Mus musculus: one gene and its partner. The main gene of each other region encodes a partner of the protein of the gene in region 2 in a complex. Links are inferred from orthologs where the notes say so. Each region holds a gene or a part of one and is shown on either strand. Other genes may lie near its edges. The genes, in order: Twistnb and Polr1e.

Region 1 (3,816 bases), on a different chromosome or scaffold from region 2:
CTCATCTATGACTTAAGAGCCTAGGGCTGATCCATCTACAATGAATCTGCCTAGAGCCAGACAAAAACTTGTAGTGTTCCTGTAAATAACCCTAGTAATACTCACTGGTTTACAAAGTTAGGCTTTAGTGATATTGGTCTGTCATGGGGTTCCTATCTGGAGTGAGAAACCAGCTCCTCAAGAAAAGGCTTACTGCACAAAAGCATGGACAAGACCTACACAAACCCAAGCCAAACAAAATCCCAGCATGGAGAGACACAAAGTCCTCACCCCAGCTGAGGAGCTGTTGGCATTTAATTGCTAGTGGAGAGGGAAATTCAGTTCTACTTAATGGTGCGATACCTGGCATACCAAGGACACTCGCAGTAGGGCCCCATGTCCAGGGGTCAGCCAAAACAAACTGGACTTAAAAAAGAGATAACATGAGTCAGGTGGGAGAGGGAGGAGCTGGGAAGATTACGGGAATGGAGTGAATATAATCAAACTAAAGTATATAAAGCTCTCAAATACAGTAATTAGTTTTAAAAACTTCAGTTAAACCCCTTATCAGATTAGGTCAAGTGGAAGAAATGACGACAAAGCTTGAACAGAATTCTTTTGAATTATCACATTCAAAAAAAAAAAATGAAAGGGGAAAAAATTAGAACAGTAATTAAGATCTTTGAAACACCATGAAAGAAAATAACTATATAAATGGTGTTCTCGAAGGAGAGGGAAGTGAAGGGCAAAGACAAAAACTACAGAATCATGTGCAAGAAATTTATAGAACTCTCAAACAGCCAAACCATTTACAACCAAATTTTCAAAGATATAGGACAAAGAATTTTCAAATTTTTCAGAGAAAAATCTCCAGGCCACAGTTAAAAGTAACCTGTTTACATTAATAGCAAATTTATCAGGAAAAGAAAGAAACAAAAATAAATAAACAAACTCAGAAAACCAGGAAAATCAATCCAGTAGGCCAAGTAGGTACAGGTTAACAAGCTTCAATCCCTAAAATAAAGTAACTGTCAGTCGTGACTACCACATCCTATAAACTAGTAGCAAGGATATTCTATGAAAGTAAGAAACAATGATTTTCTAAGATAAGTAAAACCTAAGAGCATTTGTGATTATCTTATAAAAAAAAAAGAAAGAAAGAAAAAAAGAAATGCTTATGGGAGTCCTACAACCCAAAGTAGAAGAAAGAACACTAGCATCAAGACAATTATATAGGCCCGGAGGGAAGGCTTAGTGGTTAGGAGCACTGGCTGGTCTTCCAGGCACCTGAGTTTGATTCTCAGCACTCATATGGCAGCGCACACTCTGTCCTGGGTATCTGAGGCCCTCTTCTGGCCTCTGTAGGCATTACATGCAAACAGTGAACAGACAAAACATTCAGAGTACATAAATGATAGTGTCAGAGTAACCGTCACTGCACTAGTCACACAAGAGAAATAACAGAATCAAATGAGATCGACAGAGTAAATCATCAATCTATAGAGATAAATAAAAGAAGGAATAAAATAATATCCAAAGCTGAATGTAAAAGCGAATAAAAAGAACCATCTTGCTTTGCAAGCCAGTTAAAGTAAGTGTGTGTATGTGTGTGTGTGTATTCTTTTTCTTTGAGGACTCTGAATGGAATTACAGGAGAAATGTCAGAGTTAATATTCAAAATATAAAGAACAAAAAAGTAAGTCAATTAAAAATGGGCAAATGATCTGACTAAACATACCTCAAAAGAAGTAGAAGTAACCAATAAACATTTAGCCACAAGGGAAATCCAAAGCACAGTTTCAATGATCTATCTGCAATGGCTAGGCACTCTCAAAGCTTGACAGGGTTTAGAATTACCTAGTATACTACTAGCTACTAGCACACTCCTGGGTGTGTCTATGAGACAGTTTCCATAGAGGATTAACAGAGCTGCGAAAGAACCAAGGCTGGGGCTCAGAGAGAGTAAGAGAAAAGTAGAAATCGAGTCCGACCAGTATTCCTTTCTCTGCTTCTTGGCCCAGCAGGATGAAAACGTCTTCCTTGCCATGTAAAGCAGAAGCCAAACAAAACCTTCATCCTTCGAGCTTTTTCTGTCAAGTATTTTGTTACAGCAACAAGAAAATGACTCGCTATTCCACCTAGAGAGTTAATAACCACAAAACTGACATACTGAAAAGCTGTGAAAGAAACAAGCTCCTCTGTGACTGTAAACCAGCAGACGTTACAGGAACTACTAAAAAGGAAGTGCTGCCACGTGACCATAACAACCCAAGAGAAGTAAACTCAACACTGAGCACCCGCCCGTGCTTACACGGCACTACTCAGTCAGTCTACACACCTGTCAGGAGATGACTGGCTAACCCGAGTTTACACACACAGTGCAATACAGTGGAATAAACATCCACCCAGAAGAATGAATTCCTGTGATCTGCAGCAATGAAGAGCGCTGAAGTGTGTCACGTTAGTGAAGTAAACAGGCACTGACAGACAATTACAGCTTCCTCTCCTATGTGGAAACTGAAGTTCCTTTTTAAAGGAACCTGGGAGAGAAGTGTGATTATTAGGGAGTAGGAAGGGTGCTAAACCAGGGTGGGGGTTCACAGAGAAAAAATGTTGTAAAGGACGTAAGAAAAGAAAAATGATGTACATACCATTAACGTCTGCCCAGGCTCAGGGCAGAAAATAACAAAATCTGCTTCAATGTTAAGATGAATGTGTCCTTGATCATCATAAATATCTCCTAGTTCACCCACAACTCTGATGTTATCATATGCAATAGGGACACCTAAAAGGCTGTTAAGGGGGAAAAGATACTGTTAATTCTAGTTAAAGATAATCTACTGTTACCTCTGATATACCACCCTTTCCCAAACATAACGGCATCACCTAGTCTTATAGACTAGCACTAGCAGATCTTAGCAATTACAGCTTATCAAAAAACTCCAATGTCTTAGTTAAGTTAAAGTGACCGTCTGCATGGGTATTCAGAACTATGCACTGGTAATAAACTGACACGCACATGCTACCTATCTGAACCAGTCATACAGGGGCAATAATGGGCCTAAGCAAGGAAAACATCTAGATACTGTATGACTGAATACAGGCAACTGTGACACAACCTACTATTACTAGTTTCTATGTGATACTATATAAGGGAAGCTTGACTGTTTAAGCTACAGTCTCTGATCACTGGAACCAATGACTTAATTACAGAAAAATACCAAACTAAAACCTTTTCTAGTGAAAAGACATGTTAATGTACATAACCATATCATTTGAGAGCTGACCCTTAGTAGACACATTTCAAGTCGAGACTAACAAGCCATGATTAATTGTAAAAAGCCAGTTAACTAAGACAGACATATGAGCTTTCTTATTTCTCCCACATGAAAAATTTCCTGAAGGAAATTCCCCTGACTCCCCCATCCAAAGAAAGAAAATCACTTCTTTACCACATGTAAAAATGTATTACTAATTGTAACCTAATTTTATTGAATCCATCTGTATATGTTTAGATTCAAAACACAAGTCTAAGGCCATGAACAGCAGAAATGTTTTATTGGTCTCAATTTCTAGTACAGTTCATCTAAAGAGAAAGGATTTCTCTATAATAGATTTCATTCTAGTGAAACAGCCACAACCCATAGGAAAGGAATTGCAATAGTTACCAAATTAGGAAACCCATAAACTCAGATCTTCCAAGAAGAGTACTCTTGAATGTTTAGCTTCTACACATGGCTTACTTAAGCAAGAGTCATACATCACTAAGACAATATGAGGGACATTGAAAACAAAACAAAAGGAAAAACAAAAAGTATCCACCAAAACTGCCAGGGG
Region 2 (4,319 bases):
TGACACACAGACACACAGACACACACACACACACACACACACACACACACACGCGCGCGCGCATTCTCATGCAGTGATTAATCCCAGCACTCAGGAGGCAGAGACAGGTGGATCTCTGTGAGTTCGAGACCCGCCTGGTGTAAAAAGCAAGTCCTGGAGAGCCAGGGCTATTCCACAGAGAAATAGCAACCACACAAACAAGCAAACAAACAATGCTTTGCGATTCCATCACGCCCCAGTCAGAACAGCTATCACCGAGAAAACAACTAACAACAAATGCTGGCAGAGATGTGGGGAAAGAACCGTTACTCACTGCTGGTGGGAGTGCAAGCTATTGCTGCCACAGTGGAAGTCAGTGTGGAGGGGTCTCAAAAACTACAAGTGGAAGTGCTGTGTGAGGCAGCTGGACCACTCTTAGGCATACACCCAGAAGGCTCTTCAGTTAGCACACTGTATTGTACTTCTACAATCATGGTTACTGCTGCACGATTCACAACAGCCAGGAAATGGAACCAGCTTAGATGCGCATCAATGACAAAAACAGATAAAGAAAATAGGTTTTCCTCTCCTATGCAGAATCTAGATTTAGAGTGTGTGTGTGTGTGTGTGTGTGTGTGTGTGTGTGAATATGCACACATTCAAGGCATGAGAGTTGAAAGGAATCATAAGAGGTGCAAAAGAAGGGAAACGAGAGGCTGATATAGTATGTATGTAATGAGATATAATGTTGATGTGTTGAGAGTGCTTTGCCTTTATGCACACATGCATGCCTTATCTATGACGTGCCCACAGGAACCAGGAGTGGGTGTTGTGTTCTCAGGAACTAGAATTATAGACAGTTGCTACCTCCATGTGGGTTCAGGGATTGAACCCCGGTCCCCTGGAAGTGCTCTTTAATGCTGAGGCACCTCTCCAGCCCAGTATGTATGTCATGAAAGAGCGACTTATTTGGGAGGGAGGCAAGGGACCAGCAGGAGGGGGATATGGGGGAGGGCAGTGGGCAGAAGGCAGTGGGAATACAGATGAAAATAGCAGTTCTTGAATAAGCAGCACAACGAACTATACAGTGAGGTCTTGGTCTCCTAGCACTTATAGGTACCTAACTGATCCTATACATAACTGCCTTGTGACCTTTCTGACGTTAGCTCGTCCTATGAGGGCTGGCTTCCCATCGCAGCCAAGCTTTTCTTCTCCCTCGTTCACTAGGGCACCAAACATCTGCTATCAAATCGTCCCTCATTCCCATTCACCCTTCTCAGGAAGGCATTCAGACAAGCTGAGACTTGTTTCCTACAGAGCTCCCTCCCCAGGCCCTAAACACTCCCTTAGACCCCAAGCTAGCTCTACTGTATGCCTGTACTACTTGGTGAATTTGAGTCTCTGGAAAGCAGACCGGTCTTAACCCTGGCATCTACCCGGGAGAGACCAGAGATGCTAGTAAGCATCCTGTGGAGCTGGGTGGTGGTGGCACAGGCCTTTAATCCCAGATCCCTGCACTCAGGAGGCAGAGACAGGTAGATCTCTAAGTTCAAGGCCAACCCGAGCTGTACAAAGAAACCTTTGAAAAAACAAGCAAACAAACAAACAAAAAAACCATCACTCTGGGGTCACATTTGATTCACAAGCATCTGTAACCCCAGTTCTAGGGGATCCAATGCCCACTTCTGGCTTCCACTAGCTACACACACATTGTACATAGACAAAAATGAACAACACCCATACACATAAAATAGGGTTGAAGCTGAGCTCTGAACAGTGACCTCCCTAAGAGGTGCAAATCCCATGAAGATGCTTCCTTAGCCTGCGGCATGAGGACATGGTGAACGTTCAATAAGGTCATGTAGGGGGACAACTTATGAAGCCAGGGGTGGGTGGTGCTGCACACCTTTAATCCCAGCACTACGGAGTCAGAGACAGGTGGTGATTCTCTGAGTTCAAAGCCAGCCAGGTCTATATAGTAATTTCCAGGATAGCCAGGGCTACAGGAAGAAACCCTGTCTGGAAAGATAAAGCCCATATAAGTGAAAAGCCCAAAATCTTGCTCCTCAGTGGGGCCAGAGTCTCATTTGCTACTCCTCCTTTCCTCCCCCCCAGGCCAGGTCTCCCATGTCTGCCCACACCAAGAACCTTTTGAGGTCTGCAGAGCCCAGACCATCTGTACCAGCAAGCACTTACCACGATCCGGTGACTCCTCTGCCTGGGGTTTACTAAGTCGGTGCTGTTGTACAAGGTGAAGCGCATGTCGCCCGGATTCTGCAGCTTCCCATTGGAGAACTGGACTGTAAGAGTGTAAGCCAAGAATAAGAGGCGAGGACCAGCAGGGTATGGATGGGGAGACCTGCACTGTGGCTGGACGCCGGTAGTGAAGGCAAGGGAGCTTAAGTCCGACTTTCGGGGGGCGGGGGGGTATGAAGAAAGCCCTGGTCCAGTTCTAAAGAGGGAGATGGAGGAGGGGAGGGGAAGTGACCTCTGGGCAGGGGTTGTGACAAAAGAGAACGACTGAGGAAATGCCATTAACTGGCAAGAGAGGAAACTCTGCTCCGTAGAGGGGGGAAAAGGGCAAATGAGAGAGCTGTGGAGATGTCAGGTCCCTGGGCACTGCCCTGAGACGAGTCCGAAGTGGTGACGATAGATGAATGCGGAGGGAAAAGGTGATGGTGGCAGGGAACCTGTCCCGGCTGCAGGCAGTGGGCTACCGTGGTACCCAGACAGAAGCGGAAAGGATTACGCGGAACTCCGCTCCGGGTCGGCGGTCTTTACCCAGCACAGCTTTCTGCCTGTCGTCGGGCTCTCCACAGTACAGCCACCTTGCACTCTGTAGCGCCTCTGTCTCCGTGTCTCCAGCCTGGTCATCCATCCCAGGAGACTCCAGAGTAGCCATGAGCTCGCCGGTTCACACGCGGACTCAAAAACCGGAAGTGACATTCTAGGCCCCGCCCAGGGTACACCAGCAGTAAGGCCACGCCCCTCACTGGATCGCGTCCCCGCCCACTCTTTGGTTCTTTCCCTTGAGGATCACACCCTCCCCCTTGCAGGAGGATGCAGTAACTCCCCTTTCGTCTCGGACCTCCAGGAGAGCAGCTTCACTTTTGTGTTGTATTGCTCACCGCAGGCTCTAAGCTGTGGGACCAGTCACACCAAAATCTCCAGAACTGTGAACCAAAATAAAAGAAACCGTTCCTCTTTATGAGCTGTCTTCATTTTGTGTTGTTATTGTCGTTTAAGGCCGGCTATCACCATGTGTGTAATCCTGGTTGGTCTGGAACTCATTCTGTGAAACATAATGGCCTCAAATTCACGGAGATTAGACCACCAGCTTTGTCTCACATATTTTGTTAAGGTAATAGAAAAAAACTGACTAATGTAGGGTTTCTCCCTGAGTAATTTCAATGCAGCCACCCAAATAAGAGAGCTAACAGTGATTCAACCATGTAATCTTGTAGTATTCAATTTCCCCAACGGCCTTGATACTGCCTTTTCAGCTAAAAGAGCCTGTCAGAAACCGTGTTGCAGCCTTACACTTGTAATCCCAGCATTTAAGAGCAGGGCTGCCATGAATTTGAGGCAAGTTCAAGTGAGAACTGTCACACATACACACAAATTATACTTTGCTTCTAGCTGTCACAACTCTTTGGTTGGAAGGTTACACTTTCTTTGACTCTACCCAGTGATTTTCTATTGATTCTTTCCAGAAAGGAAAAAAGAATATAAAAGGACTTAGTTAACTAATTAGTCATCCCCCCTTCTGTCAGAATCTTTTCCATACTCAGTTTATTTGAGGTTAGTAATGAATGGTAGAGCCTATTAGAAACATTTCACTTTTTAAATTATTAATTTATTTGGGTCCCAAGAGGGAATGTATGGTAAAGCAAAACTGCTCATCTGGTGGTCAAGGATGAAAGGAGGAAGAAGGGACTGAGGTCTCTGTTCCTTTTGGGCTCAGGTTGTCTTCAAACTCCACTTGTTCTGTGCCTGAGGGTGACTCCCCATCCTCTTGCCAAGTGCTGAGATTACATACACACACCATCACACCCAGCCAGAAAGAAAGTTTATTTCATTTCTTTCACTTCTGCACCTCCAACTCCTGAAAGGTCCTGTAAAAAAAAAAAGTGGGGGGGGGGGGGACCTCAGCAAATGTTGAGTGAGAGGTCTGGAAAAAGCTCAGTGGATAAAGGCACTTGCTACCAAGTTTGATGGTCTTCCTAGGACCCACCTGGTGGAAGAAGAGAGCTTACTCGGTAGCATACATCTGCATGCACACACAAAATAAATCAATGTAAAATAAAATTTAAAAATGAGCGAATGAAGGAAAGGGTAGG

Evidence for each region.
Region 1: Polr1e (region 2) and Twistnb share a complex: the UniProt entries of both Homo sapiens proteins name them as parts of the RNA polymerase I (Pol I) complex. The link is inferred for Mus musculus from reciprocal best matches to the Homo sapiens genes POLR1E and POLR1F.

What each region holds. Positions count from the first base shown.
Region 1 is NC_000078.6:33,432,461-33,436,276, reverse strand, and holds part of Twistnb (DNA-directed RNA polymerase I subunit RPA43), read right to left. Parts: intron 2,773-3,816; coding exon 2,631-2,772; intron 1-2,630. UniProt on the Homo sapiens protein: Component of RNA polymerase I (Pol I), a DNA-dependent RNA polymerase which synthesizes ribosomal RNA precursors using the four ribonucleoside triphosphates as substrates.
Region 2 is NC_000070.6:45,017,234-45,021,552, reverse strand, and holds the start of Polr1e (DNA-directed RNA polymerase I subunit RPA49), read right to left. Parts: upstream 2,945-4,319; 5' UTR 2,882-2,944; coding exon 2,761-2,881; intron 2,280-2,760; coding exon 2,176-2,279; intron 1-2,175. UniProt on the Homo sapiens protein: Component of RNA polymerase I (Pol I), a DNA-dependent RNA polymerase which synthesizes ribosomal RNA precursors using the four ribonucleoside triphosphates as substrates.